Linked DNA regions of Lytechinus pictus. The protein of the gene in region 2 interacts with the protein of the main gene of each other region in a pairwise test. Links are inferred from orthologs where the notes say so. Each region holds a gene or a part of one and is shown on either strand. Other genes may lie near its edges. The genes, in order: axin interactor, dorsalization-associated protein-like; PIN2/TERF1-interacting telomerase inhibitor 1-like.

Region 1 (3,930 bases), on a different chromosome or scaffold from region 2:
TCTTGACGCAGAATCAGAATGACTTGGCGAATGAGTTGACAACTGGCAATTCATAATGTGTAGTCTAAGTTGTAGGAAAAGTCCACCCCACCAAAAGTTAATTTGAGTAAACAGAAATATCCAACAAGTGTGACACTGAAAATTTCATCGAAATTGGATATAAAATAAGAAATTTACGACATTTTAAAGTGTCACCTAGTTTCACAAAACAGTTATATGCACATCCTGGTCGGTATGCAAATGAGGGGACTGATGACATAATTCACTCCCTATTTCTTTTGTAGTTTATTATATGAAATAAGCATTTTAATTTTCTCCTCTTTGTCCTGTGAAACAAAGTTTTATTCCTCCCTGAACACGTGGAATTACCATTTTACGGTTCAGTAAAGTTGGTCCTTATTGTCAAATCTGTAAAAATTTAAATATGTTGAATTCAAACAATAAAAGACAAAATAAATTGTGAATGAGGGGCATCATTGTCTGTCTCATTTGCATGTCACTGAGTAGTGCATATCCTTGTTTTGTGACAGTTCTAAATGTCATAACTTTCTTATTTTACATCCGATTTTGATGGAATTTTCAGGGTTATGCTCGTTGGATTTTTCTCTATTTATTCATATCAGCAATTTTCTGAAGTGGACTTGACCTTTAACCTTGGCTATCAGAATACCACATTTTCCTTTACAATACAACTATCCCTATTTCCGCTGTGGAATTTACTTAGCTCGATTTTCCTGTTTCCACTTTTATTCATACAGGAAAGGGGGAAAGGACAGATAAAAAAAAGGACTTGAGAAAATATTGAAAGTGAGTGTTATGTGGGTGTGTGGGATGTGTGAGTGAGATAGCAAGTGAAATGAGAGAGAGAGAGAGCAGGACCTGGATAGGGAGAGGGAGAGGGGATACAGAAAGTGTGTGTGTGTGTGTGGAGGGAGAGGGCGAGAAGAAGAGAGAGGAGAAAGAATGCGTGTGGGTGTGTGTGTATGTGAAGGGAGGGAGAGAGTGAGAGTGACTGAGGGGAGGGAGGGAGAGGGACAAATTTAAAAGTACAGTCAGAAATGTTTTGTCCAACCTCTCATTGAACCTACCAACGGTTGGTTAAAACAAAATCGCATCCCATAATGAATTGGAATTATTGAAAAAAACAGTTGATCGTTTGATACTTTAACCAACTTTTGGGTTGATTAAAACAATTTCTGAGAGTATTAAGAATAAACATAGAGAGCATCACGTCATTAGTTTTGTCATAAATTATCTCCCTTCACATATCCCTGATTATCATCATTAAATTATAGTAGAGTCTTAACGCTACAATCATCAGATCATTCTGCAAATAATACAGATTCAAAATTTTATGAAAACCGAGACTCGGCAAAGTTATCAATTTCCATTGCTAATTTATTTGTGTAGTCTATCTAAGATCATTAGGGGAAGAATAAACATCAGATTTCTAATAATAATAATATATGTGATTTGTAATGCGCCAAATCCACTCGGCAGAGTGCCCAAGGCGCAGTGAAAGAAGAGAGAAAGAACGAAAGAGAAAAAGTACAAATACAATGGTAATAGATTCAGGAACAATTAAGAGTAAGAGGCATTGAATAGACGAGTCTTAAGGTATGTGTCAATGGACGTGCATTCACGGATTGTCAGGGGAAGATCATTCCAGAGAATAGGGCCAGCGTGAGCAAAAGCCCGAACCCCTCATGTCTTAAAGGAGAAATATATTGATTATGAATATGGCCTTATTATATATCAGTGGAAAGGTAATGATGTGTGGATTACCATTAGGTCATTAAAAAATAACGAAAATAATACATAAGGTGGAAATCGCCGATTAAAAAGCGCTAAAATGCCTCTCCGAAATATGCCTCGCATCGGTCTCTGAATTGACTCGAATTTGATGACGTCACTGTCTGTACGAGAGGCGTGATTGGCTCTCCCACGTCAAGCTCCACTTGCATGCAAAACCTGTTGCGAGGGTACGTTTTCTCCACACTGACACTGAATACTCCCAATACTTCGATCATGAAATGAAAGAAAACCCAGAAATTTATCTAGATTTGGATTTTCAAATTGATGATTATGAAGATGAAGAGAATGATGATAAAGTTTCTAATTCTAGAAAAACAAAGTGACGTGGATGGTGGTAAATTAAGGGAATTACGCCGGTGATGATGAGTAAGACAATTCAACTTGCAAGCCGATTCGCTACCAACGTACGTATGCAGCTGCATGCTAGCTGCACCGCGGGACCGCGGGTCAAATCCATGAAAATGAATTCCATGCAGCATGACCACATCCAGACAGAGTCTCTTTCCTCTATCAACAACATAATGAGAAGGAAAATAATAAAATAACTGTACTTACAAATAAGTGAATATATCCGAACCTAGGCTGAAGGTAAATCAACTCAAGGAATAGAAGCAGACGATATGCACCGACGATGAATTTCACGTGGCTGGAATAGATGTTCACTCGTTCTGTTAGATAAAATTTATATCTCATTATTTTGACTAAATTACGAAATTCGGAGAATTAGTATTCTACATAAAAATTAAGTAACACCTGGTACTATTTTTTGAATTACGATAAAATATTTTTGAAGCAAAGAAATTGAGGTAAATTAAAATAAGATATAAAGGATCATCCACTTAGCCGCATGCGATTGTAAACAAACAATCAAAAGCACATGGCCAGCTTGCTCCACTGAACTGAAAATACGTATTTTCAGTTCAGTGGCTTGCTCGCCCATAGAGTTGGAGCGTAGCTTTATCCAACTCTATGTGCTCGCCTTGCTGATTGTTTACAATCGAATGCGAGCTAGGCGGATGATCTTTTATATCTAATTTTAATTTACCTCATTTTCTTTGCTTCAAAAAGGTTTTATCGTAATTCAAAAAATAGTACCAGGTGTTACTTAATTTTTATGTAGAATACTAATTCTCCGAGTTTCGTAATTTAGTCAAAATAATTAGATAGAAATTTTATCTAACAGAACGAGTGACAATCTCCCAGCCACGTGAAATTCATCGTCGGTGCATATCGTCTGCTGTTATTCCTTGAGTTGATTTACCTTCAGCCTAGGTTCGGATATATTCACTTGTTTGTAAGTACAGTTATATCATTATTTTCATTCTCATTATGTTGTTGATAGAAGAAAGAGACTCTGTCTGGATGTGGTCGTGATGGAATTCATTTTCATGGATTTGACCCGCGGAGCAGCTATCAGCTGCATGTGTTGGTAGCGAATCGGCATATGCAAGTTGAATTGTCCGACTCATAATCACCGGCGTAATTCCCCTAATGTATACCTCTATCCACGTCACTTTGTTTTTCTAGAGCTAGAAACTTCATCATCATTCTCTTCATCTTAATTCATAATCATCAATTTGAAAATCCAAATCTAGATAAAATTCTGGGTTTTCTTTCATTTCGGGCTCAAAGTATTCAGTGACAATGTGGAGAAAACGTACCCTCGCAACAGGTTTTGCATGCAAGTGGAGCTTCACGTTGGAGAGCCAATCACGCCTCTCGTACAGAAAGTGACGTCATAAAAAATCCCCAATTTCGCGGACGTAATTCTGCGTGTTTGAAGCATTCAGAGAGAGAACTTTAAACTATCAATTAACTGAGTTCCATCGGTCTCCATGATAAATGATTTACACCATCGTGTTCTCCTTATTTTCTCCTTTAATTTGATATATGATTCCCCATTTTTACGATTTTCAATATAGTTCTACTTTAACGGATTTAGGAATAACTAGGGAACCAGAGTTGGATGAACGTGTGACCGGGCTGTATTTGCTGATTAGATTAATATTGTACTGTGGAGCAGAGCCATTAATTGCGTGGAAAACAAGGAGAAGGATTTTGAAGATGATGCGATCGTTGACCTTTAACCAATGAAGATATTTTTTAGAATGGGTG
Region 2 (3,930 bases):
TGATGATGACGATGGTGTTAATAATAAGGGTGGTGATGATGATGATGACAATGATGATGGCAATGATGATTATGACGATCTTAATGATGATGATGATGATGATAATGATGATGCTAGTGATGAACGTTATGATGATAATGAAAATGATGATGATGATATAGTGTTGTACAAATGCACAGGTCCTTAACACGACATATATTTCTAATATGATTTTTAGATTTATTAACTTCGTTTTCCTGGTCACACATGTGTAAAGCATTATAGCTGAATACCCCCCCCCCCCCTCCCCCCCCCCCACCACCCCCTCTCCTCTACTGGCCAGTGCAAACTCACCTAAGTTGTTATTCTTGAGAGAAACTTTGACGTGTGAGACGTTTCCATCCTCTTTGATCCCAAGACCTTTGCCCTTTGACCAACCCATCTTCTCCATCAACTTCTGACCAAACTTGGAGGAATCTGAATGAACAGAACATAAAGAGAGATGGAGAGAGAGTAGGGGGTGGGGGGAAAGAGCGGGGTGGAGAGAAGTGGGAGAGGGGAAGAAAGAGATTGGGAGATGGGGTTAGGGTGGGGTGGGAAGATGTGTGAAGGGAGAAAGAGAAAGAAAGAAAGATTGATTGGGAGAAGGGGTTGGGGTAGGGTTGGGGAGAAGTGGGAGAGAGGAGAAAAGAGAGAAAGATAAAGATTGGGAGAGGGGTTGGGTGCAGAGAAATGGGAGGGGAAAAGAAAGAAGGATAGATTGGGAGAGGGGTTGGGTGGGGATGTTAAGAAGTGGGAATTAAGGGAGAAAGATAAAGAGGGATAGATATATTGGGAGAAGGGGTTAGGGTGGGGGTGGGAAGTGGGAGGGGACAAAGATAGATTTGGAGTGGGGGTTGGGGTGGGGTGAGAAGTGGGAGGGGAGAAAGGGAAAGATATATTGAGGGGAGAGAGAGAGAGATAAACATTTAGAAAAATTATTCAAACCTAAGAAAAGGATTGGAAACCGTCCTTATGTAATTTAAATGGATACTTGTGGCTGCTCTTGCATACACGCTTAAACCTCTGTATTCAGATCCAGTTTGCTGATTTTAAGATGTTTGTACATGGAAACAAGATGGCGGCGTAAACATTGGGCAATTCTCTTCCGTCTTTTCATATTTTTCTCATTTTTTTTATGAATTCTTGTTTAAAAATAAAATCGATAGCGTAGAAATGTCGGAAATGAAGTTGTACCCCATGTACATGATAGGGCTAGATCTTTTTTCTAGAAGTAGAAATCTTGGGGGGGGGGGAAGTTTCAGGTGTTGGGGCGGTACGTGCAGATACATGTATGAATGGGAAGGAATTCCTGGCTTCGACCTTCGTTGAGAGTAAGCATAGGTTAGTAAATAATTTTTTTTTACTCTCTAGAACTAAACTCTAAAGCCTCCTCCTGCCTGGCCTGCATGGGCTGGCAATACTATTATTACTAACCCAGGGAGCTCCCGCCTGCTGCGCGGGCGGGAGCCCAGGGGCTTACCGTGTATTTGACCATAGTCACCGGACTAGGGTGATTTATGGTCTAAATATTTCTCTAAATGAATTGTGAAAACAGAAAGTATACAATTACCACGATTATATGGATGAAGGTCTAACGAGTGGCAGTTTCCTGACATCTGGGCACAGACTGGAACCTCAAAAAAACGAAAAGTTCTCTCCTTCTACCCAGTCTCGATCGGCCATTTTGTTACGATTTTTAACAAAAATGGCCGATCGAGACAGGGAAGAAGGAGAGAACTTTTCGTTTTTTGAGGTTCCAGTCTGTGCCCAGGCAGATGTCAGGAAACTGCCACTCGTTAGACCTTCATCAATATAATCGTGGTAGGCCTAATTGTATACTTTCTGTTTTCACAATTCATTTGGAGAAATATTTAGACCATAAATCACCCTAGTCCGGTGACTATGGTCAAATACACGGTAAGCCCCTGGGCTCCCTGGGGCTGGGTTATAATAGTGGCATGGCTACCTTTTTCTTGAAAATCTGTGTTTTTTATAAGAGTGCACGCGCGGCCCACGTCCAAAACTGAAAAAACACCACTTTTCCACGCGGTTTCTTTTTGTCACGCATGTGTACAGCAATTATATTTGACTGCCCCCTCCGGGATGTAATGTAGAGCTCTGACTCTGAGCTCAAGCCCAAGCCTTGGCCTCAGCTCCGCCAACGCAGCACCGCGAAGGCAGCGGAGCTTACCTGCTGCTTAGCCGAGTTCACATACACGCATTTTATCGTATTTACATGTATAGTCACGTATTGTATTACCGGACGCGCATATTACTGCATTCGAAAACAATTTTGTACCGTAAGACTTCCGCAATTCAATTTCACAGAGCAATACATAGAACAGGATTGCAAAAACAAGGCGAAAAAAATCCAACTTTTACCTTATTTATCTCTAAAATGACAGAAAATGCTTAAAATATCAAATAACATAGTTTTGCATTAACAATTGATATATTTTCTAACGGAAATATGGGTCTGATCTGCCGAATTTCAATTAATCTCGTCCGCTCCTTCGATCGAATGATGAGGTGTGGTGTATTGTGGGTGATCGTCGACGGCTAGTTCTCAAGGTACCCGTGCGCGAGGTTTACCGTGAGCACCGTGAGTATAGAGCCGTCGACGATCGGCAGCGCATCGATAGAACTTGATGAGCGTCACGATACGAACGAGCATAATATTGGAAAGTTCCATGAAACATGCAGCTAACAAGAAAAAATAAAATAAGTTATCAAACACGAATTTATTACCAACATCTGCTCAGAATCGATATAAAAACAGCAAACAAAAACTTAGAATTTACTCATGATATTATATAAGAAGAAAAAATCACACAAATTTGTTCTTACATCATTATAATCAAGAATATCTTTACCCGTCCGGCGCGCGTCCGGAATCATGATCAGTAGAGGCGCACGGCCAATATTGGAGACTGTCTCCAATGTGGGAGATTATCTCCAATATCAGAGACTTTTGTAAAGAATTTGGGTATCCAATTTCAGAGACAGTCTCCAGTTTTGGAGTCCAATTTCCTTTGTTTACATTTGCTGCAAAAGGATTACCTTGGCGGCAAATAAAAATGTGATAAGCAGATTCCTCATGAAAAATTACCCCTTTTCACCGTCTACTTTAAAAATTCACCGTCTACTTTTATTTTGATAAGGGATTTTGTTGTCAATCACACACAAAACAAATGGGCTTCTGACCTCAGTGAGACAAAATTTTGGGTGGAAAAAATCATACTTTTGTTGGTGTTGTTTCTTTTGTCCTTTTGCAAAGCAAGTCTCCAATGTGGGAGATTGTCTCCCCTATTGGAGAGAGTCTCCCATATTGGCCGTGCGCCTCTACTGTCTGATGATGTAATTTGTCACGCACGAAAATAACTGTTTTTCGTGGAGGGGTATGCGGCAAGTGCGATGCAAAGAAAATGGTTGGTAAATATAAAATAATTTTACCATATTCATAATTTTCATAATATTTGGAATAGCAAGTGCGATTTTTTCTTGATTGTATTTCCTCTAGTGGTCATTTTTAAAGCACTGAAATAAAGGTGTCCGGCAATAGGATACATAGACCAAAAGCTTCGGTCTCTATTATGTTGGTTGTTCAGCTGAACTCCGTTGGCTTCACTCACCAAATACAGAGACCGAAGTTCTAGCGCGATCTGTACAGGGGACTCAATGGCCATATGTTTATGTACTTAAGATCGGATAAAACGGGGAAGTGAATTTGCGCGACAGCCGAGGTAAGTCACTGTTTTTGTTCCTTTTAACTTGATTTTTCTCCGTTTTTTGGCAATTAATGCCAAGAGGGAATATTAATTTGCATTTTGGTCGCGTTAATTTTCAAAATTTTTTTTCATTAAAGACAAAAATTGAAGAGCCCCGACGGGGGATTTTGCATTGCAAGTC

The links.
Region 1: the proteins of PIN2/TERF1-interacting telomerase inhibitor 1-like (region 2) and axin interactor, dorsalization-associated protein-like interact in binary tests that used the Homo sapiens proteins (3 or more experiments, as listed by UniProt). The link is inferred for Lytechinus pictus from reciprocal best matches to the Homo sapiens genes PINX1 and AIDA.

What each region holds. Positions count from the first base shown.
Region 1 is NC_087251.1:28,246,746-28,250,675, reverse strand, and holds the start of axin interactor, dorsalization-associated protein-like, read right to left. Parts: upstream 2,486-3,930; 5' UTR 2,371-2,485; intron 1-2,370. UniProt on the Homo sapiens protein: Acts as a ventralizing factor during embryogenesis. Inhibits axin-mediated JNK activation by binding axin and disrupting axin homodimerization. This in turn antagonizes a Wnt/beta-catenin-independent dorsalization pathway activated by AXIN/JNK-signaling.
Region 2 is NC_087250.1:7,514,189-7,518,118, forward strand, and holds the start of PIN2/TERF1-interacting telomerase inhibitor 1-like, read right to left. Parts: upstream 2,267-3,930; 5' UTR 2,213-2,266; intron 457-2,212; 5' UTR 431-456; coding exon 334-430; intron 1-333. UniProt on the Homo sapiens protein: Microtubule-binding protein essential for faithful chromosome segregation. Mediates TRF1 and TERT accumulation in nucleolus and enhances TRF1 binding to telomeres. Inhibits telomerase activity. May inhibit cell proliferation and act as tumor suppressor.